Saccharomyces cerevisiae S288C: one gene and its partners. Each later gene encodes a partner of the first gene's protein in a complex. Each region holds a gene or a part of one and is shown in the gene's direction. Other genes may lie near its edges.

What was found.
Region 2: the proteins of RSC6 (region 1) and RSC9 are in contact, whole or in part, in a cryo-EM structure (PDB 6V8O), measured with the Saccharomyces cerevisiae proteins. Residues at the interface, in NP_009981.1 of Saccharomyces cerevisiae: Gln4 (codon at 3,079), Thr5 (codon at 3,082), Asn6 (codon at 3,085), Pro7 (codon at 3,088), Asp15 (codon at 3,112), Ala16 (codon at 3,115), Tyr17 (codon at 3,118), Thr20 (codon at 3,127), Tyr21 (codon at 3,130), Asp24 (codon at 3,139), Leu45 (codon at 3,202), Thr48 (codon at 3,211), Arg49 (codon at 3,214), Leu52 (codon at 3,223), Asp53 (codon at 3,226), Thr54 (codon at 3,229), Ser55 (codon at 3,232), Ile56 (codon at 3,235), Asn57 (codon at 3,238), Leu58 (codon at 3,241), Thr221 (codon at 3,730), Gln223 (codon at 3,736), Val227 (codon at 3,748), Asp228 (codon at 3,751), Gly229 (codon at 3,754), Gly230 (codon at 3,757), Val232 (codon at 3,763), Val249 (codon at 3,814), Asn250 (codon at 3,817), Val253 (codon at 3,826); in NP_013579.1 of Saccharomyces cerevisiae: Lys143 (codon at 2,061), Ser144 (codon at 2,064), Ile146 (codon at 2,070), Cys147 (codon at 2,073), Asp148 (codon at 2,076), Ser149 (codon at 2,079), Met152 (codon at 2,088), Gly201 (codon at 2,235), Asn203 (codon at 2,241), Gln206 (codon at 2,250), Leu207 (codon at 2,253), Tyr208 (codon at 2,256), Glu209 (codon at 2,259), Tyr252 (codon at 2,388), Thr253 (codon at 2,391), Lys254 (codon at 2,394), Asp255 (codon at 2,397), Arg256 (codon at 2,400), Ser294 (codon at 2,514), Leu297 (codon at 2,523), Glu299 (codon at 2,529), Cys300 (codon at 2,532), Asp301 (codon at 2,535), Ser302 (codon at 2,538), Glu331 (codon at 2,625), Leu334 (codon at 2,634), Ile335 (codon at 2,637), Ala338 (codon at 2,646), Thr339 (codon at 2,649), Asn342 (codon at 2,658).
Region 3: the proteins of RSC6 (region 1) and RSC8 are in contact, whole or in part, in a cryo-EM structure (PDB 6K15), measured with the Saccharomyces cerevisiae proteins. Residues at the interface, in NP_009981.1 of Saccharomyces cerevisiae: Leu22 (codon at 3,133), Lys26 (codon at 3,145), Val27 (codon at 3,148), Asn29 (codon at 3,154), Leu30 (codon at 3,157), Leu33 (codon at 3,166), Leu36 (codon at 3,175), Met39 (codon at 3,184), Asp40 (codon at 3,187), Leu43 (codon at 3,196), Asp44 (codon at 3,199), Tyr46 (codon at 3,205), Leu47 (codon at 3,208), Arg50 (codon at 3,217), Arg51 (codon at 3,220), Glu394 (codon at 4,249), Asp395 (codon at 4,252), Lys398 (codon at 4,261), Glu401 (codon at 4,270), Ile402 (codon at 4,273), Leu405 (codon at 4,282), Gln408 (codon at 4,291), Leu409 (codon at 4,294), Ser412 (codon at 4,303), Lys415 (codon at 4,312), Tyr416 (codon at 4,315), Phe419 (codon at 4,324), His420 (codon at 4,327), Leu422 (codon at 4,333), Ser423 (codon at 4,336); in NP_116695.3 of Saccharomyces cerevisiae: Pro176 (codon at 5,869), Ser177 (codon at 5,872), Leu178 (codon at 5,875), Gly180 (codon at 5,881), Pro181 (codon at 5,884), Ser182 (codon at 5,887), Phe183 (codon at 5,890), Gln239 (codon at 6,058), Trp334 (codon at 6,343), Glu335 (codon at 6,346), Val347 (codon at 6,382), Glu348 (codon at 6,385), Ile351 (codon at 6,394), Glu352 (codon at 6,397), Leu355 (codon at 6,406), Ser356 (codon at 6,409), Pro358 (codon at 6,415), Glu360 (codon at 6,421), Asp361 (codon at 6,424), Arg365 (codon at 6,436), Met390 (codon at 6,511), Asn394 (codon at 6,523), Val397 (codon at 6,532), Gln398 (codon at 6,535), Leu401 (codon at 6,544), Leu407 (codon at 6,562), Val410 (codon at 6,571), Ser411 (codon at 6,574), Ser414 (codon at 6,583), Arg415 (codon at 6,586).
Region 4: the proteins of RSC6 (region 1) and RSC58 are in contact, whole or in part, in a cryo-EM structure (PDB 6V8O), measured with the Saccharomyces cerevisiae proteins. Residues at the interface, in NP_009981.1 of Saccharomyces cerevisiae: Pro7 (codon at 3,088), Val8 (codon at 3,091), Pro9 (codon at 3,094), Val10 (codon at 3,097), Thr11 (codon at 3,100), Tyr12 (codon at 3,103), Pro13 (codon at 3,106), Thr14 (codon at 3,109), Asp15 (codon at 3,112), Ala16 (codon at 3,115), Tyr17 (codon at 3,118), Asp40 (codon at 3,187), Ser41 (codon at 3,190), Asp44 (codon at 3,199), Leu45 (codon at 3,202), Leu47 (codon at 3,208), Thr48 (codon at 3,211), Arg51 (codon at 3,220), Asp392 (codon at 4,243), Asp395 (codon at 4,252), Thr396 (codon at 4,255), Leu399 (codon at 4,264), Arg400 (codon at 4,267), Lys404 (codon at 4,279), Leu407 (codon at 4,288), Gln408 (codon at 4,291), Asn410 (codon at 4,297), Ser411 (codon at 4,300), Gln414 (codon at 4,309), Val443 (codon at 4,396); in NP_013133.1 of Saccharomyces cerevisiae: Thr262 (codon at 5,890), Glu263 (codon at 5,893), Met264 (codon at 5,896), Met265 (codon at 5,899), Thr266 (codon at 5,902), Phe268 (codon at 5,908), His270 (codon at 5,914), Asn272 (codon at 5,920), Trp273 (codon at 5,923), Val280 (codon at 5,944), Trp281 (codon at 5,947), Leu282 (codon at 5,950), Lys283 (codon at 5,953), Tyr284 (codon at 5,956), Asn286 (codon at 5,962), Tyr287 (codon at 5,965), Asn288 (codon at 5,968), Ser289 (codon at 5,971), Trp290 (codon at 5,974), Ser293 (codon at 5,983), Phe294 (codon at 5,986), Glu296 (codon at 5,992), Ser303 (codon at 6,013), Thr304 (codon at 6,016), Gly307 (codon at 6,025), Leu308 (codon at 6,028), Trp310 (codon at 6,034), Leu311 (codon at 6,037), Glu312 (codon at 6,040), Gly315 (codon at 6,049).

The regions. Positions count from the first base shown.
Region 1 is NC_001135.5:211,925-218,895, forward strand, and holds RSC6 (Rsc6p), read left to right. Parts: upstream 1-3,069; coding exon 3,070-4,521; downstream 4,522-6,971. Other genes in the region: ARE1 (sterol acyltransferase), read left to right, coding at 5-1,837; YCR050C (uncharacterized protein), read right to left, coding at 1,540-1,848; YCR051W (uncharacterized protein), read left to right, coding at 2,147-2,815; threonine synthase THR4, read left to right, coding at 4,773-6,317; CTR86 (Ctr86p), read right to left, coding at 6,452-6,971. UniProt on the Saccharomyces cerevisiae protein: Component of the chromatin structure-remodeling complex (RSC), which is involved in transcription regulation and nucleosome positioning. RSC is responsible for the transfer of a histone octamer from a nucleosome core particle to naked DNA.
Region 2 is NC_001145.3:15,430-20,069, forward strand, and holds RSC9 (Rsc9p), read left to right. Parts: upstream 1-1,634; coding exon 1,635-3,380; downstream 3,381-4,640. Other genes in the region: double-strand break repair enhancer MSC1, read right to left, coding at 1-1,247; ERG13 (hydroxymethylglutaryl-CoA synthase), read right to left, coding at 3,631-4,640.
Region 3 is NC_001138.5:227,013-234,529, reverse strand, and holds RSC8 (Rsc8p), read left to right. Parts: upstream 1-5,343; coding exon 5,344-7,017; downstream 7,018-7,517. Other genes in the region: SAP155 (Sap155p), read right to left, coding at 1-288; OSW7 (Osw7p), read left to right, coding at 986-2,518; IRC5 (putative ATPase), read right to left, coding at 2,589-5,150; anaphase promoting complex subunit CDC26, read right to left, coding at 7,193-7,517.
Region 4 is NC_001144.5:203,655-210,769, forward strand, and holds RSC58 (Rsc58p), read left to right. Parts: upstream 1-5,106; coding exon 5,107-6,615; downstream 6,616-7,115. Other genes in the region: YLR030W (uncharacterized protein), read left to right, coding at 1-427; YLR031W (uncharacterized protein), read left to right, coding at 571-1,131; DNA helicase RAD5, read left to right, coding at 1,337-4,846; putative divalent metal ion transporter SMF3, read right to left, coding at 6,858-7,115. UniProt on the Saccharomyces cerevisiae protein: Component of the chromatin structure-remodeling complex (RSC), which is involved in transcription regulation and nucleosome positioning. RSC is responsible for the transfer of a histone octamer from a nucleosome core particle to naked DNA.

The DNA.
Region 1 (6,971 bases):
AAGAATGACGGAGACTAAGGATTTGTTGCAAGACGAAGAGTTTCTTAAGATCCGCAGACTCAATTCCGCAGAAGCCAACAAACGGCATTCGGTCACGTACGATAACGTGATCCTGCCACAGGAGTCCATGGAGGTTTCGCCACGGTCGTCTACCACGTCGCTGGTGGAGCCAGTGGAGTCGACTGAAGGAGTGGAGTCGACTGAGGCGGAACGTGTGGCAGGGAAGCAGGAGCAGGAGGAGGAGTACCCTGTGGACGCCCACATGCAAAAGTACCTTTCACACCTGAAGAGCAAGTCTCGGTCGAGGTTCCACCGAAAGGATGCTAGCAAGTATGTGTCGTTTTTTGGGGACGTGAGTTTTGATCCTCGCCCCACGCTCCTGGACAGCGCCATCAACGTGCCCTTCCAGACGACTTTCAAAGGTCCGGTGCTGGAGAAACAGCTCAAAAATTTACAGTTGACAAAGACCAAGACCAAGGCCACGGTGAAGACTACGGTGAAGACTACGGAGAAAACGGACAAGGCAGATGCCCCCCCAGGAGAAAAACTGGAGTCGAACTTTTCAGGGATCTACGTGTTCGCATGGATGTTCTTGGGCTGGATAGCCATCAGGTGCTGCACAGATTACTATGCGTCGTACGGCAGTGCATGGAATAAGCTGGAAATCGTGCAGTACATGACAACGGACTTGTTCACGATCGCAATGTTGGACTTGGCAATGTTCCTGTGCACTTTCTTCGTGGTTTTCGTGCACTGGCTGGTGAAAAAGCGGATCATCAACTGGAAGTGGACTGGGTTCGTTGCAGTGAGCATCTTCGAGTTGGCTTTCATCCCCGTGACGTTCCCCATTTACGTCTACTACTTTGATTTCAACTGGGTCACGAGAATCTTCCTGTTCCTGCACTCCGTGGTGTTTGTTATGAAGAGCCACTCGTTTGCCTTTTACAACGGGTATCTTTGGGACATAAAGCAGGAACTCGAGTACTCTTCCAAACAGTTGCAAAAATACAAGGAATCTTTGTCCCCAGAGACCCGCGAGATTCTGCAAAAAAGTTGCGACTTTTGCCTTTTCGAATTGAACTACCAGACCAAGGATAACGACTTCCCCAACAACATCAGTTGCAGCAATTTCTTCATGTTCTGTTTGTTCCCCGTCCTCGTGTACCAGATCAACTACCCAAGAACGTCGCGCATCAGATGGAGGTATGTGTTGGAGAAGGTGTGCGCCATCATTGGCACCATCTTCCTCATGATGGTCACGGCACAGTTCTTCATGCACCCGGTGGCCATGCGCTGTATCCAGTTCCACAACACGCCCACCTTCGGCGGCTGGATCCCCGCCACGCAAGAGTGGTTCCACCTGCTCTTCGACATGATTCCGGGCTTCACTGTTCTGTACATGCTCACGTTTTACATGATATGGGACGCTTTATTGAATTGCGTGGCGGAGTTGACCAGGTTTGCGGACAGATATTTCTACGGCGACTGGTGGAATTGCGTTTCGTTTGAAGAGTTTAGCAGAATCTGGAACGTCCCCGTTCACAAATTTTTACTAAGACACGTGTACCACAGCTCCATGGGCGCATTGCATTTGAGCAAGAGCCAAGCTACATTATTTACTTTTTTCTTGAGTGCCGTGTTCCACGAAATGGCCATGTTCGCCATTTTCAGAAGGGTTAGAGGATATCTGTTCATGTTCCAACTGTCGCAGTTTGTGTGGACTGCTTTGAGCAACACCAAGTTTCTACGGGCAAGACCGCAGTTGTCCAACGTTGTCTTTTCGTTTGGTGTCTGTTCAGGGCCCAGTATCATTATGACGTTGTACCTGACCTTATGAACTGCCACCATACCACGTGTGTCCCTCGCAAGCCCTTGATAGATATACAATAGGGAATGGGCGTCCGCTCCACCGTGGTCAAAGACAGGGGCAAAGAGCTCCTAGGTCTATATATATATCTATATACATATTTATATATATTATTAGAACTTTACAATATAGTATATACCATTCATTGTTTAAGTTTCGGGTAATACTTTTTTTTTCCTTGTCATAACCCCAAAAATTTTCGATGCCTTTGATATAATTGAGAACAAGAAGAGTTTGCAGGTGACAAAAATCGATGATTATAGGTGTTGTGACGACAAAATGAACGCTAATATATGGGTGGCTGCTTCAGATGGTAATTTGGACCGAGTGGAACATATCCTCCGCGAGAGTAAAGGCGCCATGACCCCGCAATCCAAGGACATTAACGGCTACACTCCAATGCATGCTGCCGCCGCATACGGCCACCTGGATTTGCTGAAGAAAATGTGCAATGAGTACAATGGAGACATTAATGTGTTGGACAACGACGGCGATACCCCGTTGCACCATGTGGAGGATGTGGCCACTGCCAGGTTGATCGTGGAAGAGCTGGGTGGAGACTTCACTATCAGGAATGTGGAGGGCCAAACGCCATACGACTCGTTCGTCGAGAACGGTGAAGATGGTGAGCTAATCGAGTACATGAGGATTAAGTCCGGCGTGGCCGATGTTCACGGAGTGGACGGCGTGCAGGGTGAGGGTGTCATCGACAGCAAATTGCTGGAAGAGTTCAAGGACAACGTGAGATACACCTTGGAAAATGACCCTGAGGAAGGAGCCGATGAGGCCACTCTGCAACGCAGGAGGCAGTTGGAACAGATCATTACGGGAGACAACGCTGAGGAGGAGTTGGAAAGGTACATCCGTGCTATGGTCAGAGAGCAGATGCTGGGCCAGGGCTCCATGGCGGGTTCCGGGGACGAACCAGATTCCAAGAGAAGAAAATAACGACCCAGCACAAAGGCTCTTACAGCTTGCTAAAAGAAATTGAACGCGACGCTACATGAACTACTTCTTTCTCTTACATAGTCTTTTCCCTTATGTATCTTTTCTGTACATTAATAGACGTTCTTACAAGGTAAAATTTCACCGCGTTTTTAAATAGAATGAAAAAAACGTTGTAGAGTGAAAGAAAAGCAACAAATATACAGTTCACAAGGCAGCTTCGTATAGTAATACAGCACGAAAAACAGCTCATAGAAATGGTAACACAGACCAATCCGGTCCCTGTTACATATCCAACGGATGCTTATATCCCCACGTATCTGCCCGATGATAAGGTCTCCAATCTGGCAGATTTGAAAAAATTGATAGAAATGGATTCCAGACTAGATTTGTATCTGACAAGAAGGAGGCTGGATACGTCCATCAATTTACCTACAAACACCAAGACCAAGGACCATCCCCCCAATAAAGAGATGCTGAGGATTTACGTCTACAACACTACGGAAAGCAGCCCTCGCAGCGATTCTGGCACCCCAGCGGACTCAGGCAAGACTACATGGACACTGAGAATAGAAGGTAAGCTTCTGCACGAGTCCGCAAACGGAAAGCACCCATTTAGTGAGTTTTTGGAAGGTGTCGCGGTCGACTTTAAAAGACTGAAACCGCTGGGCATGGGCAAGAAGAGGAAACGCGATTCGTCATTGAGCCTTCCTTTGAATCTGCAACAACCCGAATACAATGATCAAGATAGCACCATGGGCGATAACGACAACGGCGAGGATGAGGACAGTGCAGAGGCAGAATCCAGGGAGGAAATTGTAGACGCACTGGAATGGAACTACGATGAAAACAACGTTGTGGAGTTTGATGGTATCGACATCAAGAGGCAAGGCAAGGATAATTTGCGATGCAGTATAACCATCCAGTTGAGGGGTGTCGACGGTGGAAAAGTACAGTACTCGCCCAACTTAGCTACCTTGATAGGTATGCAAACGGGCTCCGTTAATGACGCGGTTTATTCGATCTACAAGTACATTTTGATCAACAATCTGTTTGTTACGGAACAAACAGAGGCTCAAGATGGTTCCAACGATGCCGAAGACAGCAGTAACGAGAATAACAATAAAAACGGTGCTGGTGACGATGATGGCGTCGAGGGAAGTACTCCAAAGGATAAGCCCGAATTGGGTGAAGTGAAGCTAGATTCACTCTTACAAAAGGTATTGGATACAAACGCCGCGCACCTCCCCTTGATGAATGTTGTGCAAACCGTGAACAAACTGGTATCACCCCTACCGCCCATCATCCTAGATTATACAATTGATCTTTCCAAAGATACCACCTATGGTGCTACCACCTTGGATGTAGATGTGTCGCACATTCTCCACCAGCCTCAACCCCAGCCAAATTTACAAAAAGAGGAAGAAACAGATGCTGAAGACACAGCAAAACTACGTGAAATCACAAAGCTTGCCTTGCAGTTGAACTCTAGTGCTCAAAAATACCAGTTTTTCCACGAACTGTCTTTGCATCCAAGAGAAACGCTGACTCACTACTTATGGTCTTCCAAGCAAAACGAGCTTGTGCTGCAGGGCGACCAATACTTCAATGAAGATGCTGCAAGAACGAGTGACATATACAGTAACAACAACAATGACAGGTCACTAATGGGCAATATCTCACTACTGTACTCCCAAGGAAGACTATAACATCACTGTATGATCTCATTCTTTCTGCAATTATTGCACGCCTCCTCGTGAGTAGTGACCGTGCGAACAAAAGAGTCATTACAACGAGGAAATAGAAGAAAATGAAAAATTTTCGACAAAATGTATAGTCATTTCTATCAATAACGTATACACGTTTTTTTAATACTATCTATATTGTGTATCTTATATTTTTCCATTTGGTAGTATAGCAGCAAATATTTGTTCTTAGACGGCCACCATCCCTCACACCAATGCCTAACGCTTCCCAAGTTTACAGATCTACCAGATCCAGCTCTCCAAAGACAATCTCTTTTGAAGAGGCTATCATTCAAGGTCTGGCCACTGACGGTGGTCTTTTCATTCCACCAACTATTCCACAAGTGGACCAAGCCACTCTTTTCAATGATTGGTCAAAGCTCTCCTTCCAAGACTTAGCCTTTGCTATCATGAGACTATACATTGCCCAAGAAGAGATTCCAGATGCTGATCTAAAGGACTTGATCAAGAGATCTTATTCTACTTTCCGTTCTGATGAAGTCACCCCCTTGGTGCAAAACGTCACTGGTGACAAGGAGAATTTGCACATTTTAGAATTATTCCACGGTCCTACCTACGCTTTCAAAGACGTTGCTTTACAATTTGTCGGTAATCTTTTTGAATACTTCTTACAAAGAACCAACGCCAATTTACCTGAAGGCGAGAAAAAGCAAATCACTGTGGTCGGTGCTACTTCCGGTGACACTGGTTCTGCAGCCATCTACGGTTTAAGAGGCAAAAAGGACGTTTCCGTTTTCATCTTATATCCAACCGGTAGAATTTCCCCAATTCAAGAAGAACAAATGACCACCGTTCCAGATGAAAACGTCCAGACTTTGTCTGTTACCGGTACTTTCGACAACTGTCAAGATATCGTCAAAGCTATTTTCGGTGACAAAGAATTCAACTCTAAACACAACGTCGGTGCTGTTAACTCCATCAACTGGGCAAGAATCTTGGCCCAAATGACCTATTACTTTTATTCATTCTTCCAAGCCACCAACGGTAAGGACTCCAAGAAGGTCAAGTTCGTTGTGCCAAGTGGGAACTTCGGTGATATATTGGCCGGTTATTTTGCCAAGAAAATGGGTTTGCCTATTGAAAAACTGGCCATCGCTACCAATGAAAACGACATTTTGGACAGATTTTTGAAATCTGGTCTATACGAAAGATCAGACAAGGTTGCTGCTACTTTATCCCCAGCAATGGATATCTTAATCTCTTCTAACTTTGAAAGACTACTATGGTACCTAGCTCGTGAATACCTAGCTAATGGTGATGATTTGAAAGCCGGTGAAATCGTCAACAATTGGTTCCAGGAATTGAAGACCAACGGTAAGTTCCAAGTTGACAAATCCATCATTGAAGGCGCATCAAAGGACTTTACATCAGAAAGAGTTTCCAATGAAGAAACATCTGAAACAATCAAGAAGATCTACGAATCATCTGTAAATCCAAAACATTACATCTTAGATCCTCACACAGCTGTCGGTGTTTGCGCCACAGAAAGATTGATTGCAAAAGATAATGACAAGTCCATCCAATACATTTCTCTATCTACCGCTCACCCAGCTAAATTTGCCGATGCTGTAAACAATGCATTGTCTGGATTTTCCAATTATTCATTTGAAAAGGATGTTTTGCCTGAGGAATTGAAGAAACTATCCACATTAAAGAAGAAATTAAAATTCATCGAAAGAGCTGACGTTGAATTGGTCAAAAACGCTATTGAAGAAGAACTTGCTAAAATGAAATTATAAGATCTTCCTTTTTAATGAATATATTTTATCTTATATAACATATAGAATTCTATAATTAATAGAGAGTATGAAGTACGATTATCCTTAATGTTAATCAAAGTGAATCATGATTGCGAGAGTAAGGAACCATAAAATTAATCTTCATCTATGCTAATAATCTCAGAATTCTCGTTCCCAGGGTCTTCTTCTTTAGATACTAATCTAACTTTCCCGCCCTTTTCAACTGATATTTCAAACCCAGCTTTGCTCAATGCATCGTCTTGAACAACGTCTTGAGCTTCCATTTTTTTGACATATTCCTGATTCTTGGCATTATTCTTTAACAAAAACTTCAAGCAAACAATAGATCTTTCCTTGATAAACGGATCATTATCATCGATGACACAATTGGAAAGAATTAATGCAAGACCACCTAATTCTCTTATTTGATCTTGGATTTCAGGATGTGCATACACTAACGATGCCAATATTTCGATTATTACTAATTTACAATGGGGAAAATTATCAGCCCTAATAAAGGATTCGTTGGTATTAACACGGTTGAAAATTAATAACCGGTCCTCGATTTTGTTACCTTCATGATCTGTGATTTTAATTTCATTCACCGTATCACCGTTTCCTTTCAAAAAATTAATCCTCAACAAATTCTTTTGG
Region 2 (4,640 bases), on another chromosome or scaffold:
TGAGAATCTTGGAAGTCGTCCTTTTTGTCAGCAAACCAACCCTTTATGTCATCCAAAGACCAGTTACTGTTGTCAAAGTATTTTTGGTAGTCTTTTGGCAGGATCTTGAGTTTTTCGTTTCTGGATTTTTTGACTAATTCTCTCAATTGATGTTCAGTAGACAGCATTGAGTACTTAATACCACGAGCATCTAAAAACATTTTCAATTTGTCCTTTGGCCAAGAGTCTAGGCCAACCAAAAAAGTATCATTGATCACATTGTCAGTCTTACCTCTGAACTTGGAGTACAAATTTGTGAGGAAATTTTTAGAAGAGTCCCAAACGGAACCAACGTATTCTGGGGTCTTGGTCAAAAATGGAGAAGACTCTCTTTTCATATAGTCCAGGTACCAGTAGATATCATCTTTCAAATTGGCAGAATTTTCTTTGGCCATTCTAACCAAATAGTCGTGTTTCTTGGCCATGTTCTTGTCAATATTGACCTTGTGGCTCTCCAACCAATTGGTTAACTGATCACTAGACCACTTGTCAAATACAGTGTCTTTTATTTGTCCCGATGTGTCTAATATTTGTTGGTGAGCCAAATCCAAGCTTTCTAGCAAACCCAGACGCTGCTGTTCTGCCTTTTCTGAAGTTCGGTAGATGTTTTCCTTGACTTTCTGAACTAGCTCGTCCTTGCTTTGAACTGCCTTGTCGTAGTCGATACCATTGTCATTCAACCAGTTTTGCAAATCTTTGGTTGACCAGCTATCAAAGTAAGAGCTAGAAGGATAGTATCCCGACGACTTCAAAGATTTGGAAATCTTGTTGAAGTTCTCCTTAGCAGTCTTCACCAGCGAGTCCTTGGAAGCCTTAGCGTCGTCAACATCCACGCCGTTTTTCTTCAAGAAGTTACGTAGACTGTCTGTGGACCAGGTGTCAAAGAGCCAGTCAGAAACTGGGTGATCCGAAGAACCAGTATAACCAAACCATCCGGGGTTACTGTTGCTCACGCTACTGCTGTCACTAGACCACACCTGCCACCATGGTTTGGGCTGCGCGTGTTTGTCCCATACCTGCGATGCCTCCGTTTTCAAGTCCTCAATGGAGTCTGTAGCGTACTTTTCCAAGCTCTTCTTATTATCACGTAAATAATCGGCCAGGTCTTCCTGCGTCCACTTGTCGAACACTGAATCTGAATTGGCCAACACTAAGCCAATAAGCACAAATGATGCGGAAACCGCATTAACCAACTTGAATTGCTTCATCTTCTTCTCTTAATTAACAGTTCTTTTGTAGTTGTCTCCTCTTCTATTGCAGATCCTCTTCTAAACTCCGGTAATCTAATCATGCTAGGAATACGACTCCATGAGTGGCTTTAAATACCCTGTCGATCCCCTTTCACCGCCTCCTTGTTTCCTCCCTCTCCCTTATTTTCCTTCAGTTCCAAAGATCCCTTATTCTTCCCCTCTAAGGTGAGGCCGGCGTAATGCTGTTGCTTACCGACGTAATGGTGGAAAAGGTGAAAAAAGTGAAAATAGTGATATTCTTAGAGAAAAACGAAAACAACAAGTCGTGTCAAGAGGTAGTGTTTTGGGAAAGACGTCATAGAGAAAGGCAGAAAGCTTGTAAAGAAGTGGAAATAAAGATTGAAGATGAACTCGTTAGCTTCAAACACACCGCTAAATGGTACTCCAGTAAGCGAGGCACCCGCCACAAGCTCCGAGCCTGTGAACATGTTCGAGACAATGGTGGCTAACCCTATTAAAGTGTCTCGATTACAGTCTAATGGAGTTCTGACGGGACCTGCAGCCAATACTAAGTCCATCCACTATTCGCTGGCCAATTTTAATGTGTTCCAGTCGCTACCCAAGGAAACGGCCAGAGGTGTAGACGATTTGACGAGGATGGAGATGGCGTTACTGAGTGGGATACCGGAGGAGATTAAGTGGTCTTTAAAAAAATATCTTACGTATAGTAACAAGGCGCCATATATGATCAGCTTACGGACATTGCCGGACCTGTTGCCACTTTTCAAGACTTTCATATTGCCTTTGGAGCGCATCGTGGAAGGTCTTAACAAATCGTCTATATGTGATTCAAAGGCGATGGATTCTCTACAAATGGGTCTAAATGCCTTGCTGATCCTAAGGAATCTGGCTCAAGATACTGATTCGGTGCAGATACTAGTCAAGGATCGAGAAATCAAATCTTTCATTCTTTTCATTTTGAAGAAGTTTCAGTGCGTCGCTACAGGCGATAACAAGTGGCAATTGTACGAAGGAAATGCAACTTTTTTTAACGAGTTGACCCATTATACTCTGGACTTGATGGAGGCCATTTCGTCCTATATTGCTCCTGCAATGAAGGATGATCATTATTTCCAAACGCTGGTGTCCATCTTGAACTACACTAAGGACAGATACATGGTTATTTCTATATTGAGGTCTCTTTCAAGATTACTGGTTAGGTCCAAAGCTAACGAGGAAAGTGCAGCGGACAATTTGGACCATAAGACTCTTTCGTTGATCGTTTCCTTTTTACTGTTAGAATGCGATAGTGAGCTGATTATTGCTTCGTTGGATTTCCTCTATCAATACATTTTGCCCGGTTCTCAAAGAATCACTGAGTTATTCAAGAGTAAGGAGTGCTCTTTGATACTGGAAGCCACGCTGCCTAATTTATTATCATATAATATCGCCACACCAGATTACCATCTTTTGCAAAAGCACAAAATTAGGTTGATTAAAAGGTTGAAGCCTCCCGCTCCAAAGGAGCCTCCCAATTTATCTGAGGATCTGTTTCAACAACTTTTCAAACTTAACGAGCCCTTGAGGTCAACCGCTTGGTTGAGATGTTGCTTTGAGCCTGTACAAGAAGCAGAATTTACACAAATATCGCTTTGGAGATCCTACGAATCCAAATTTGGTCAGCCTGTTCGCGAATCCGGACGCAAATTGTTACCTGCCGTGGAATTCATCAAGAATGTCTCGAATGCTTTCAATAACGCCGCTGCTATCGTAATCACTGACCCGGTAACCGGCAAGAAAAGGTTTGTTATCAAGGGCATTCAACCAAGATTTAAAGCTTTGGGTATTGCAGACGGGGAAAGAGAATCCCAGGTACCCATTTCGGCACTAAAATCCAAATTTTTGAATGACTCTAAGGAAATTACACCTGCAAGACAAAACAGCATACCAGAGGTCAAATTCCCTCAAGAACTCTCAGATGTTTCTAAAGTGGCCTGTACGTTTTTGTGCCTTTTATCCAACGACACGGATGATGGTGCTGGTTCCGCATTTTGTCAACGCATCAGGCCACTGGTTCTACATAAATTGGCTGATATTCCACCTTTAACATTAGCATTGTCTGAATACATGGAAAACACGTCGGGGTTATGAATGAGAAAAAAAATCGGTTGGGCTTAACTTTAAAGAAAAAAGTTGAGATTAGATTTATTGTGTTATAAATATAGATATACAATTCTTTATAAAAAAAATATATATATATATCATTGTTATTAAATAAAGAGTTTTCCTAGTATATAGATTAAAAAACTACTCTATTAAATGAGAGCTAAAAAAAGCAGGCTGCCAAAAAAATAAAGCATTTATGAAGGGGGTTCAGCAAGATGCAATCGATGGGGGAAGATTATTTTTTAACATCGTAAGATCTTCTAAATTTGTCATCGATGTTGGTCAAGTAGTAAACACCACTTTGCAAATGCTCAATGGAACCTTGAGGTTTGAAGTTCTTCTTCAAATGGGCATTTTCTCTCAATTCGATGGCAGCTTCGTAATCCTTTGGAGTTTCGGTGATTCTCTTGGCTAATTTGTTAGTAATATCTAATTCCTTGATAATATGTTGGACGTCACCAACAATTTTGCAAGAATATAGAGATGCAGCTAAACCGGAACCGTAAGAAAATAAACCAACACGCTTGCCTTGTAAGTCGTCAGATCCAACATAGTTTAATAGAGATGCAAAGGCGGCATAAACAGATGCGGTGTACATGTTACCTGTGTTTGTTGGAACAATCAAAGATTGGGCAACTCTCTCTTTGTGGAATGGCTTAGCAACATTAACAAAAGTTTTTTCAATGTTCTTATCGGTTAAAGATTCGTCATAATCGCGAGTAGCTAATTCGGCGTCAACTTCTGGGAACAATTGAGGATTGGCTCTGAAATCGTTATATAGTAATCTACCGTATGATTTTGTGACCAATTTACAGGTTGGAACATGGAAAACGTTGTAGTCGAAATATTTCAAAACGTTCAAAGCATCCGAACCAGCGGGATCGCTAACCAACCCTTTAGAAATAGCCTTCTTGGAATAACTCTTGTAAACTTGATCAAGAGCCTTGACGTAACAAGTTAATGAAAAATGACCATCGACGTAAGGATATTCGCTGGTGAAATCTGGCTTGTAAAAATCGTAGGCGTGTTCCATGTAAGAAGCTCTTACAGAGTCAAATACAATTGGAGCATCAGGACCGATCCACATAGCAACAGTACCGGCACCACCGGTTGGTCTTGCGGCACCCTTATCGTAGATGGCAATATCACCGCAAACTACAATGGCGTCTCTACCATCCCATGCGTTAGATTCAATCCAGTTCAAAGAGTTGAACAACGCGTTGGTACCACCGTAACAGGCATTAA
Region 3 (7,517 bases), on another chromosome or scaffold:
CCGTTCCTCTTCCTCTTTCTCATACCGTTCTTGCTGATCATCCTTCTCAAATCGACTCTTCTGATCTCCACGTGCCGTTTTCACTTCATCACCATGACTATACTCCTCCGGAATAGAATCTAGGGAGTCACTTGTACCTCGTTCCTGAACGTTGTTGAAAATAGCGGGAATGGCTTTACCAACGCTTGGGTTAATCCTTTCCAGTTCGTGTAGCACATGAAAATATTCATCTAGGATCTTATTAATATTAGAGTGATTAAGATTCTGTCCAAATGGCCAAAACGACATCTTTACTCTGGCTTGTTGTTTTCGTCTTTTTTTTCTTTTCTTTTGTAAAAACTGCTGCTCCAAAAATCAATAGAATGGGAACGGCAGAGACTATAGTCTAGGGAAGTAACGCTTGTGTCTTAATCGTGTTGAAATAAAATCAAAATGAAATAAAATCAAAATAATAAAAAAAGAGGAGGAAAAAAGGGGATAGTCACTCAAACCCACTATCTAGCTTTAGTCTCTCAGTCTTTTAACCGCTACTTGGAGAAAAAATACTGAATCCAATGGTCAAATAAGGCCTTTCTTCTAGTTGCTTTGGAGCGTATGATACCACGATACTGTTGGTTTTGGTTCTAATTGGCCACTTAAAATTATTTTTCTTTCTTTTTTTCTAGAGGAAGGGATAACCCTACTAAGACCTATTCTATAATTACCAGCCCTATAGTTGTCTTTCATTTTTTAGATAAATGCCCTCTTTAAAAATTAAATTAACCCTACTCATTTTGTTGTCATTTCGGCCCTTTTAAGCCACAATACAGGTATCATTTAACAGGAATTACATAATAGTACTTTAGAAGAGACTTGTATGGCATCGAGGCTTCCTTTTTGACTATTGGAAGATAGCATTTTTTTGGGTGTTGCTACTATCATATTTCTGTTACTGATTGACCTTTTCTTAACTAAGAAAAAGGTGGTTAGTTCTTTACTAAAAATCATGAAGGCCGTTTTCAAAGTAACGACTGCTTTGCTGGCTTGCGTGTTTATTGCAAGGTATCTGGTCTGTCAGCAAAATGGTCTGGGAAGCTTTGCCACAGATTTACAGCCCATTTGCCGGCATACTGAATTTTCAGTTGGCTCACTATTCGATTCTAAATTGGTTGAAGGTTCAGCGGTTTCTGACTATTTAGTTGGAAAGTACTCACAATCGATAAAACCACTGATTGAAAGATACCCCAACTCATCCTTGAAGAGAATTATGGGATATTTTTACCGCTTTTGGTACAATATTTTCTCTTTTCTAAGGCTAAATGAGCTCTGCTGTTCGCTACATTCCAAGTTGGGACCTTTATTAAATCATCTAAGGATTGCCTGGTACTATTTAAAGCCATATACAGACAATGTGAAGAATGTACTAGAGAATCCATTTAACTCCTCTACGGATTGGATGAAATACGGCTCCTTTAGCGCTGATGGCACGCTCACCAAACCCATTTTTGAGACAGACTCGGAAACAGAGGATTATGAGGATGATGAGAATGAAAATGAGGATGAGGATGAAGATGAGGATGAGGATGATGTCGGAATTGAGGATGAAAATAAAGAATACGAGTTCGATGGAGTACAGGATGGCCACGGGAACTCACAACTCGTCACTGCTGCTATTTTGCAGGATTTGTCAAAGATTATCATTGGTTCCAATAGCCATGCAGAATTGGAAACTTACGAGGCAGAATCATTAAAAATGGAATATGAAGCATGGATTAAGGCTATAGATTCGAAAATACACAGTGCGATGGCACTTTTGGATTCAGAGATACAGTCTGTGTTCGAGGCCGAGGTGCAAAATAAATCTATAGAAATCACTAGGAATCTTGATGACCTTAACACTACCGTTAATGAGCAATTAGTGTTTCTAGATTCAAAAATCAAAGATATTAATTGTACCTCTAAATTCGATCCTGTGCAAAATAAAATAAAGTATTTTGATGAATCGGGTCAAGTTGAACTGGAAGCTTACATTACCAAATCATCTATCACATCGATACTGAAGAATTATAAAATACATTTGTTAGACTTTGAAAAATCACTGTTTCATTCATTAGATTCTTTTCTTACCGAAATGGCTAAACTGGCAGAATCGATTCGTCTTGAAAACGTCGAAGTGTACGAAGAGTGGGGCGATGTAATGATAAGTCAATGGTCGCAAAGAATGGCATATATGGACGTCAGAGGTCTCCATTTGGAAGATCAATACGATCCTGCCTATATAGAAGAGAATCATTCCAACTGGCTCCGTTTCATGGAATTGAAAAAGAAAGTTATTTCTGAGAGGAACCGTCTGGTAAAACATGATCTGGATATGACTTTGATACTGGAATGGATTACTAAACTAAAAGCTGATTTCCAGAACACAAAAAATAATATTCAAGATACCTTTCTGCAACGAATGAATACTGCGGATACTTTATTCAAAAACCGTGAACTAAAGGAACAACTAGAGGAAGAATTTGTACGGCAAGAACATTGATCAATATATAGGTATGTATATGTACATATATACAAACATTTAATAAAAACAATATTGTATGATAACCAAGTTAAAGACCGGAGGTTGTTTCAAATAGCTTGACGTGCGGCAGATCTACGACTCTGTTGGCCTTGTACGCTTCAAGAGATCTGTTGGTCAATTCTTCAACCTCCTTATCAGTCAGTTGGCCCTCAGTAGCCTTATTTTCTTTCTGTCCCCCATTTTCAAAGCCTATATTGGATTCATCGCTCATTAAAAGCATAGATAACTCCTGGACTAAGTCCTTATTAGTGACATTAACACCCGCTTTGTTTGCCTTCAAAAAAGAACCTTCATTTAACGCCAATTTTTTCAGGTTATTGAATTTTCCCATCTGGATAACCATTCTTTCCAAATTTCGCTTATTGGCCGCTCTGGTCAATATAACATGTTCAATGGTGTTATCACAACACAACCTATATACTATAACCGGTGATTCTTGGCCAATACGGTGACACCTGTCCATGGCTTGTAAATCCACCTGTGGATTCCAATCACTATCAAACAAGACAACTGTATCTGCCCCGACTAGATTAATACCCAGTCCTGCCGCCCTTGTGGACAATAGGAAAATGTTATGCTTATCTTTCGAGCTATTAAACTTCTCGAGTTGATCCTTTCTTGTTTCATTGTTTACTGAACCATCAATTCGAAATGTCGCGAACGAATTTAAATCACACCAATCTTCGATCAAATCGAGCATGTTAACAAACTGAGAATAAATAAGCACTTTGTGCCCCTCAGATATTAATGGGGGGATTAATTTTTGTAAGATTTGTAATTTCCCAGACGTCTTTAAAAGAGTTTCCAAAGTCAAGTCTTCTGGGTGTAAATATGGGAAATAAAACAAAAAAGTTGAGTCAATGATTTGTCTCAATTGCATCATCATATTTTGCAATTTCTTATTTGAAATTTCCATTTGCAGGTTCTTCTTATATAGTTTGTCCATTTGCAACAAGGTTGGATTGATTTTATTGTCTGTATTTGAAGTTTCATTACCAGATAGTTTATAATTGATGAAATCTCGTATGGACCGATTAGAAACGTGGCCGATGTATTCATCGTTCAATGTGAAAAAATCCTTGATTAATTCTTTGAACATGGTTTTTTTCAACTTTCCATTCAATCCAGCCTTATAGAATTTTTCCTGTGCAGACGTCATCGGACAATTTATGATATATTCTCTCTTTGGCGGCAGAATATTAGCCAAAACAACTTTTTTCAATCTTCTCAAAAGGAATGGTTTCAGAATTGTGTGTAAATTGGAAATCAAATTTTTCTGTAGTTCATCGTTGATTAACTTATTCAATGCTTCAGAGTTGGAACCGGAGCCTAAATTTAAGCTGTCGAAGTCAAACCATTTATTGAATATCTCGAAATCGGCAAAGATATCGGGCATTATGAAATTCAAAAGTGACCATAATTCAGCTAGGTTATTTTGTAAAGGCGTCCCTGTTAGTAGCAGTCTATTGGAAGTATTGATTTTTTTTAACTCTTTAATCAATCTACAGTTTATATTTTTCAGACGGTGGCCTTCATCAACAATTAAAAATTTCCAATTTTGACTCATGATTAAGTCGGTATCTCTTAAAATAATTTCATATGATGTGATGACGATCCCCGTGCCGCCGTGTTGTTTAAAGAAATTTTTCAACTTGGCAGAACGTTCCTTATAACCATTGGTCCCATAATATTTTAGAACTGGTAGATCAGGAGCGAATTTTGCAAATTCGTTCATCCAATTATCTAGGGTGCTTAATGGTGCAGTCACTAGAAAAGGACCCTTTGTGTCCATTTCATATATGAACGCCAAAAGAGCAATACTTTGAACAGTCTTACCAAGACCCATTTCATCGGCAAGAATTCCGTTCAGGCCATTTTCATAAAGAGTGATCAGCCAGTTAAGACCTTCTAGTTGGTAAGGTTTTAAAATACAGTTTTTCAATAGGCGAGGTTGCTTTATTGCTGCATCGTCTGGTGCGCCGTTTTGGGTGGTTGTATCTTCGTTCTTTTTCTGTTTTTTGAAGAAATCTGTTATTGATTTTTTTTTTGTTTTACGTTTTTTTGAAGAATGTTCTTCATCATCAGAGTTGCTGTTATCTTTTGTATTAGCGTTAGCCACTTCATTAGATCGATGTAGTAAAGTATCGGCGATTATACTGGAATATACCTGACTCTGCCTCACAAACTCGTTTAGTTTCTTAAGTTTTAAAGAAACCGTCTTGGTATCCATCTCGGAGAGCTCATCATCCAAGGATTTTTGCTCTGATTTCGTGTCTTTTGCCAATTTATCCACCACTTGGGCTTGAACAGCTTCTGTATCGGAATCGTCCTCTGAGTCCAGCTGAATATCTTCGTCTGAATGCACATCATCTTGTAACCATATGGGGGCAGTGTCATTGTCGCCTTTGCCATGTTTATTGTCCTCTGAATCCAAATCTGAATCTGAATCTGAAATGTCAGCCGTTAGGTCATTGACTTCCTTCTCCCGGTAATTGACGCCATTGCTCATGTTTCTCGTCCTTGCAGCCACCCTGGCCCCAACAGCATCCTCAACAACAGTCATCAGCGCCGCGTTTGAGCATCTGCTCATCTCATCGCCAAATTTGATACTTCCTTAATCCGTTACTCTTTTCTATGATAATTTAATTACGGCGTTCTCTTTGTCACCCGCTTGATGTAAAAAAGTTGGAAAAAATAAGTTTCATCAACATTGAATTAGTTCGTGAGGTTTATAGAGAGAAGGGTAGAGCAGAGAAGCAAAGAGTAGATAGAAGGCCAGGATAATGAGCGACACTGAAAAGGATAAGGATGTCCCTATGGTAGACTCGCACGAAGCGACCGAGGAGCCACCCACCACAAGCACCAACACGCCATCTTTCCCTCACTTAGCACAGGAACAGGCGAAGGAGGAATCTGCCACATTGGGAGCAGAAGTAGCTCATAAGAAAATCAATTACGAGCAAGAAGCACAGAAACTGGAGGAGAAGGCCCTTAGGTTCCTGGCAAAGCAAACTCACCCGGTGATTATTCCGTCGTTTGCCTCTTGGTTTGATATTTCGAAGATCCACGAGATCGAAAAAAGATCCAATCCCGACTTTTTCAACGATTCATCAAGGTTCAAGACACCAAAGGCATATAAGGACACAAGAAATTTTATCATCAACACGTACCGTCTTTCGCCGTACGAATATTTGACCATTACCGCTGTGAGAAGAAATGTTGCCATGGATGTTGCCTCGATAGTGAAGATTCACGCGTTCTTGGAAAAATGGGGCTTAATCAATTATCAGATTGACCCCAGGACCAAGCCCAGTCTTATTGGGCCAAGTTTTACGGGCCACTTCCAAGTGGTTCTGGACACTCCGCAGGGGTTAAAGCCATTTTTACCAGAGAATGTGATCAAGCAAGAAGTGGAAGGAGGAGATGGAGCGGAACCACAAGTCAAGAAGGAATTTCCCGTTAATCTCACAATCAAGAAGAACGTTTACGATTCTGCACAAGACTTCAATGCATTACAAGACGAAAGTAGAAACTCCAGGCAGATTCACAAAGTTTACATTTGCCATACATGCGGTAACGAGTCAATCAATGTGCGCTACCACAATTTGCGTGCACGGGACACCAACCTGTGCTCCCGTTGTTTCCAAGAGGGTCATTTCGGTGCCAACTTTCAATCTTCAGATTTCATCAGATTAGAAAACAACGGAAACTCGGTTAAAAAAAACTGGTCAGACCAGGAGATGCTACTATTGCTGGAGGGTATTGAAATGTATGAAGACCAGTGGGAGAAGATTGCTGACCACGTGGGTGGGCACAAGCGTGTAGAAGACTGCATTGAAAAATTCCTAAGCTTACCGATCGAGGACAACTACATCCGAGAAGTTGTTGGTTCAACGCTGAATGGTAAGGGTGGCGACAGCCGCGATGGTAGTGTGTCCGGTTCGAAGTTGATGGAATGCGTGAATGATGCTGTCCAGACGCTACTGCAAGGCGACGACAAATTGGGTAAGGTCTCTGATAAGTCGAGAGAGATCTCCGAAAAGTACATTGAAGAAAGCCAAGCGATAATCCAAGAGTTAGTCAAGCTGACCATGGAGAAATTAGAGAGCAAGTTTACAAAGCTGTGCGATCTAGAAACGCAACTGGAGATGGAAAAACTGAAATATGTGAAGGAATCTGAAAAGATGCTGAACGACCGATTATCACTGAGTAAACAGATTCTTGACCTGAACAAGTCGCTGGAGGAGTTGAATGTGTCGAAGAAACTGGTACTGATCTCGGAGCAAGTAGACTCGGGCATACAACTAGTGGAGAAGGACCAGGAGGGCGATGACGAAGACGGCAATACGGCCACAGGACATGGCGTGAAACGTGTAGGCAAGGAAGGCGAGGAAGTAGGCGAAGGCGACTCCATTGCAAAATTGCAGCCCCAGGTGTACAAACCGTGGTCATTGTAAAAAAATATATAAGAAAAAAAAAAAAAAAAAAAAAGAGAGCCTACAAAGTGTACTATTGTCATATTTTATATTTCTAATACAACGTATATAAAACTAGAGAGAAGAAATTTTATAAGTGAAAGTGAATGTGGATGCGTGCGCGTGTGCGTGTGCGTGTGCGTATGCGGATATGCTATTATTCCTCGCGGATGTAGAAGGGGTTGTGGTTGTCGTTTGCATTGGACGTCTCGTGGGCGGTATTGCTGTCGGTGGACAGATGCAAGGAATTGAGGACTCTGGTGTGCGCTACCGAGGCTGCTTTGTCGTTGTAAGATGACATGTCGTCATCTTCATCGATATCGTTATCGTTATCGTTATTGTTGTCTTCGATATTCTGCGATGTGTCCTGAAAGTCTGTATTGGAGTGCAGCGATCCGCCATTTTTTCCTTGGAAGTATTTTGTCTTCTCGATATTCAGCTGCTGCTTGAGTTTCTGCTCGTTCAGGTCATCGATCAGAGAG
Region 4 (7,115 bases), on another chromosome or scaffold:
ATCGGAGGCACGTAACCGGGGAGAAGGCCTCCTGGGTGAAGTTGATAATCTTAACGAGCAGAATGTCCGAGAAAACCTGACTAGTGAACATGAAAAGAGTCCTGAAGGAGATTCCAAAAGGTATGGCCTGTTCTCCTTTGAAGAGACCCCCCCTATACAAGTGTTGGAGCAGGGCAATATCAATTCTGAGCTTTCTTCATTTAAAAACACTTCTTTGGCGGAAAACAAACGCTCTTCTGACAGCTTCGTTTCGTTAAAACCGGGTGAAGATGAACATAGCCCTTTAGAGATTAGTACGTGTGGTAATTTGACTGAAAGAGAGGATTTGCAATCTGGCGAAGAACGGTTTGACTCAGCAGCCCAAAATATAAAGGTAGCTTCGATGAAGGAAAAAAAAAAAATCTTCAAAGGGAACAAAACAGATTAATCACTGAGATTATACGCCTCGAAAACATACTAAATAAGCATAGGAAGGCTGAAGCTAAGAATAATATTAACAAACTTGAAAAGAAGTTGAGTGAAACAGATGGTTTTACATCTGTAAACACATCAGTTCCAGTAACTCCTATTATGCCGGTCTTAAATACGAGAACTTCTTATCCCAATATCGACTTTCATGGTACTAAGGTTTCTGATGTTCTAGATGCCTTTGAATTTGAAAAGCATGATGATCCCTTAAGGGATAAATGGAACACTTTACAGTTTTTGGAAAAGAGCTTTGAATCTAAATTTGAATCTGCATCAGAGTTAATCCAAGGAGGCGAGCTAGCTGCTATTAAAGAAAGAAATTTTCAATTAGCCAAACTAAATAATCTTTGCTTTCGGGTACGAGAGTCCATCAAAAGAAGACAAGACCTGGAGAAAAAGTTAAGAACTTTATCGCAGGACACTGACAACGAATTGCTTTTTCTGATGTTGGAAAATGAGAGAAGAAAGAAAAGTTCAGTGATAATAGAGTTTCTTTCTGAGATAATCAGAGAGAAATCCAAAAGATTAACTGCAGAAGAGCAAGGCTTTGTAAATCAAAATGAAGTAAAACCCCTCATTCTGGACCTTTCTGCACGGATAAATAGATTGAATTCTATTCTAGAAACAAAAAATACTTGTATTAGAAGATTAAGTAATCAATAAGTAGTTAAATTTTCATAAATTATTACTTTCTTACATGTTAGTTGGCGCGTCGTCTGGCTGAAAATTTTACGCGTCATAAACCCTTAACTTTTCCACACATTATTCCTTACTGCTAAGCGCATTGCTCACTTGAAAGTAAATTATCTACAAAGTTACATTATCAAAAGGCCTTAGAAACACACCTAAAGTCTTACAGTATCACAATATGAGTCATATTGAACAGGAAGAAAGGAAGAGGTTTTTTAACGATGACCTTGACACTTCAGAAACATCGTTAAACTTCAAATCTGAGAATAAAGAGTCGTTTTTATTTGCAAATAGTCATAATGATGATGATGATGATGTTGTTGTATCAGTGAGTGATACAACAGAAGGAGAGGGAGACCGATCTATTGTGCCAGTCAGGCGAGAAATAGAAGAAGAAGGCCAGAATCAGTTTATTACAGAGCTTTTAAGGATTATTCCAGAAATGCCAAAGGATCTTGTGATGGAACTTAATGAAAAATTCGGCAGTCAGGAGGAAGGGCTCTCTTTAGCATTATCACATTACTTTGATCACAATAGCGGGACGTCTATCAGCAAAATACCGTCTTCCCCGAATCAACTAAATACACTCTCAGATACCTCAAATTCAACCTTGTCCCCATCTTCATTCCATCCTAAAAGAAGAAGAATATACGGGTTCAGAAACCAAACACGATTAGAAGATAAAGTTACTTGGAAAAGATTTATAGGTGCTTTGCAAGTCACTGGTATGGCTACCAGACCCACCGTCAGGCCCTTGAAGTACGGCTCTCAGATGAAGCTAAAGAGATCAAGTGAAGAGATTTCTGCTACTAAAGTATATGACTCACGTGGTAGAAAGAAAGCGTCCATGGCTAGTTTGGTAAGAATTTTTGATATCCAATATGATAGAGAAATTGGCAGAGTTTCGGAAGACATTGCTCAAATACTATACCCTCTTTTAAGTTCACACGAAATAAGTTTTGAAGTTACATTGATTTTTTGTGATAATAAACGGTTGAGTATAGGTGATAGCTTTATTCTACAATTGGATTGCTTTTTAACATCTCTCATTTTTGAGGAACGTAATGATGGAGAATCCTTGATGAAAAGAAGACGTACAGAGGGAGGAAATAAAAGAGAGAAAGACAATGGAAATTTTGGAAGAACATTGACTGAAACTGATGAAGAGCTAGAAAGCCGCTCGAAAAGACTGGCTCTACTAAAGTTATTTGATAAATTGAGGCTAAAGCCTATTTTGGACGAGCAGAAGGCATTAGAAAAGCATAAAATAGAGCTTAATAGTGACCCCGAAATCATTGATTTAGATAACGACGAGATTTGCTCTAATCAAGTGACTGAAGTCCATAACAATCTCCGAGATACTCAGCACGAAGAAGAAACAATGAACTTGAATCAATTGAAAACATTTTATAAGGCCGCACAATCATCAGAATCTTTAAAAAGTTTGCCTGAAACAGAACCTTCTCGCGATGTCTTCAAGCTAGAACTAAGAAATTATCAAAAGCAAGGTCTTACTTGGATGCTAAGGAGGGAGCAAGAGTTTGCCAAAGCAGCCTCTGATGGTGAGGCTTCAGAAACGGGTGCTAATATGATAAACCCATTATGGAAGCAGTTCAAATGGCCAAATGATATGTCGTGGGCAGCTCAAAATTTGCAGCAGGACCATGTAAACGTTGAAGATGGCATATTCTTTTATGCGAACTTACATTCTGGTGAATTTTCGCTAGCAAAACCTATATTAAAAACTATGATAAAGGGTGGCATATTATCAGATGAAATGGGGTTGGGTAAAACAGTGGCAGCGTATTCTTTAGTTTTATCTTGTCCTCACGATAGTGATGTTGTTGACAAGAAACTGTTTGATATTGAGAACACAGCAGTCTCAGATAATCTTCCAAGCACTTGGCAAGATAATAAGAAACCATATGCTTCAAAAACAACGCTAATCGTGGTCCCAATGTCTTTGTTAACGCAGTGGAGTAACGAGTTTACAAAAGCTAATAATTCCCCCGATATGTATCATGAGGTGTATTATGGTGGGAATGTTTCCAGTTTGAAAACCCTATTAACCAAGACAAAAACCCCTCCAACTGTAGTCCTTACTACATATGGTATTGTTCAAAATGAATGGACTAAACATTCCAAGGGAAGGATGACAGATGAGGACGTCAATATATCTTCAGGCTTATTTTCTGTCAATTTTTATCGCATAATAATCGACGAGGGTCATAACATTAGAAACAGAACGACAGTTACATCTAAAGCAGTCATGGCTTTACAAGGCAAATGTAAATGGGTTTTAACAGGAACACCAATTATTAACAGGCTTGACGATTTATACAGTCTGGTTAAGTTTTTAGAGTTAGATCCCTGGCGGCAAATTAATTACTGGAAGACCTTTGTATCAACGCCTTTTGAGAGTAAAAATTACAAACAAGCATTTGATGTGGTGAATGCAATTCTGGAACCCGTATTGTTAAGAAGGACAAAACAAATGAAAGATAAAGATGGTAAGCCATTAGTAGAGTTGCCACCAAAGGAGGTCGTTATTAAAAGACTTCCCTTCAGTAAATCTCAAGATCTTCTATACAAGTTTCTGTTGGATAAGGCTGAAGTTTCTGTTAAATCGGGTATTGCACGCGGTGATTTATTGAAAAAGTACTCCACTATCCTTGTCCATATTTTAAGATTGAGGCAAGTCTGTTGCCATCCCGGTCTTATTGGGAGTCAAGATGAGAACGATGAGGATTTATCTAAAAATAATAAATTGGTTACGGAACAAACGGTGGAGCTTGACTCTTTAATGCGTGTTGTTTCCGAGAGATTCGATAACTCATTTTCTAAGGAGGAATTAGATGCAATGATACAAAGATTAAAAGTTAAATATCCAGACAATAAATCGTTTCAGTCCTTAGAGTGCTCCATCTGCACAACGGAACCTATGGATTTGGACAAGGCTTTATTTACAGAATGCGGCCACAGTTTTTGTGAGAAATGTTTATTTGAATATATTGAGTTTCAGAACAGTAAGAATTTGGGTTTAAAGTGCCCCAATTGCCGTAACCAAATAGACGCTTGTCGGTTGTTGGCATTGGTACAAACGAATAGCAACTCGAAAAATTTGGAATTCAAACCATATTCACCAGCCTCCAAATCAAGCAAAATCACTGCTTTATTGAAGGAGCTTCAATTGCTACAGGATAGTTCGGCAGGCGAACAAGTTGTCATTTTTTCCCAATTTTCTACATACTTGGATATCCTGGAGAAAGAGCTAACTCATACTTTCTCAAAAGATGTTGCAAAAATTTATAAATTCGATGGACGTCTCTCATTAAAAGAAAGAACTAGTGTATTAGCAGATTTTGCCGTTAAAGACTATAGCAGGCAAAAAATCCTATTACTCTCGCTGAAGGCTGGTGGCGTGGGTTTGAATCTAACGTGTGCTTCCCACGCTTATATGATGGACCCATGGTGGTCGCCCAGTATGGAAGATCAGGCAATCGATAGACTGCATAGAATTGGCCAGACAAACAGCGTCAAAGTTATGAGATTTATCATACAAGATAGCATAGAAGAAAAAATGCTACGCATTCAAGAAAAGAAGAGAACCATCGGTGAGGCCATGGACACAGACGAAGACGAGAGAAGAAAAAGGAGAATTGAAGAAATCCAGATGCTGTTTGAATAGTCATACCACATACTCATATATAAAGACTTTATTTATTATTATTTTCAACCCGAAAGAACTAATTATTCTTCAGCTACTTCATGCAACTTCTATTATCTTCCTTTTCCGTTACCCGTATTTTTAAGTTGCAATTATTAAAAAAACAATTAAGAAAATAAAACAGCGCCATAAGGCATGGACGATAGAAATACGAAGACGAAGAAAATCATCATCAGTCGGGATCAAATAAGAGATAATTTTGAAAATCGAAAGTTTTCATTATGACAGAAAGTGTAGGTGGAAATAAACTAGTAGATTTTTTGGTAAATGTTCAATCCATTTTGAATGCTGCCTCTGTGAAATGTCATGTAGTAGATGAAAGTTTTCCAGCCAAGTTCTTTGAGAAAAATCCGGATAAGATATATGAATCATATTGTAAATTCATTAAAAATAGAAGTAACTCTGAAGGTTTGATACGTAATGAAGATAAATTAGTTTTGACAACTATCAATAAGAGGTTTGAAAATGGAGAGTACGAACCCATACAAGGTGGGTTTTATAAGCTGTATCACGACATTAAGCTGGTTTGTACAATCCTCATTCACTTTTATCCTCAGGGTACAAGAAACTACCAATTAGTCGACAAGTTCTACAAATTTTCTTCAGAGCTTTTATTACGAGAATGTTGTAGGATAGGAATTGCTCTAACGCAAACTAATAATATTAAATCAAGAAGTGGTAAGTTGTTGAGCGGAAACGAGATGGATGAATACGACGATGACGATGCAACAGAACTAGACAAAATAATCTCTTATGATTTTATTAAGATTTCTATGAATTACACAGTGCCGATTTCTCAAACATATCAGATAAGAACGAAGGATATGGACCTTTTTTCTTCGATAATTTCTAAATCTAATCTTGACAAAAGACCTCATGAACTTCCTAATACAAACTTCAAAATAAACAACGTCTTACCTCAAACTGATATAGAAAACGAAGCTCCAAGATTAGGATTTGTAGGCGCTAATACTAGTAATATTCCGGACCCTACGTTACCACCAACTGAAATGATGACTAGATTTTTGCATCCAAATTGGTATGCTTTACCTACAACCGTCTGGCTAAAATATGGTAATTATAATTCTTGGGCACCTTCCTTTAATGAAAACGGCACCGTTGTGGATTCGACAACAAGGGGTCTTATTTGGCTTGAAAGAATTGGTTATATGGACTTGTATGAAAAAAATGAAAAGAAAGTAAAACAAGAAGAATTACTGAACACGAATGAAGAAGGCATAAACAGGAAGCAGAACGATGAAAACAACAAAAATGTTGACGGCAAAAGCAATGGCGTTCAGGACGATGGTGGTGATAATGATAATGATGCGACTATCGCTTCTGCAAATTCAGAGAGTACTGAGAATAAGGAACAATTCATAATCAAGCTTCAAAACTTATATAATTGGACACCATCTAATTACATTGGAGATGACGAAATTGAGAACTTTCGAAATGGCACACCAGATAAGTTGGTTTCAGACTCTCTCTTAAAACTTAAAAGACTTAGAAAGGAGAGGATTTTAAATAAAGTTTTGAAGCCTACTACGGAGGAACGAGAATTATACTTCAAAGTGAAAAGAATACTAAAGGAGGTTATCTTAGCAAAGAAGGTTTCCAAGGTTCCTATAAACAATGTAAGGGCCTTTCCAGTATTACAAACAAACTATAATGGTAGCATACCTGTGGTAAGGGCGCAACCAGGTCGTAAACGGAAACACAAGAAATAAATAGTGTCAGCGGTAGTGGAATCAAAGATAAATAATGAATTATCTTTGTTTTAGTTTCATGAAAGCTCATCAAGTCTTTTTTGACTAATGTATGTTTATATTTTGATATTAGATAAAGTATGCATTTGTTCTGAAGGCTATGCATACGTAAGTATATACTTGGGTTGTATTATGCAGAATAAAGAAATGAGAGAAAACAAGAATCGAGAGAAAACGACACACTTGACAATAAATAGGTTCCATTAAAAATGGATGTCGGCACCTAAGAGATAGGAAATCACCAAATAGCAATTCAAGCTCCCGATTAAAGCCCATACGAAAACAGAGGTATAGGTCAACAAACGACTGTTAGTAAAATCAACTATTTTACTGTGCTTGGAGTTCAATGGAGTGGTTTCATCAGCAATGGCGTTAACATCGGCAGGTGCTCTTACCACACCATTTTCGTCATGAACAACCATCAACTTTCTATTTGCGGTAAAATAAATTAAAGGAGCGGA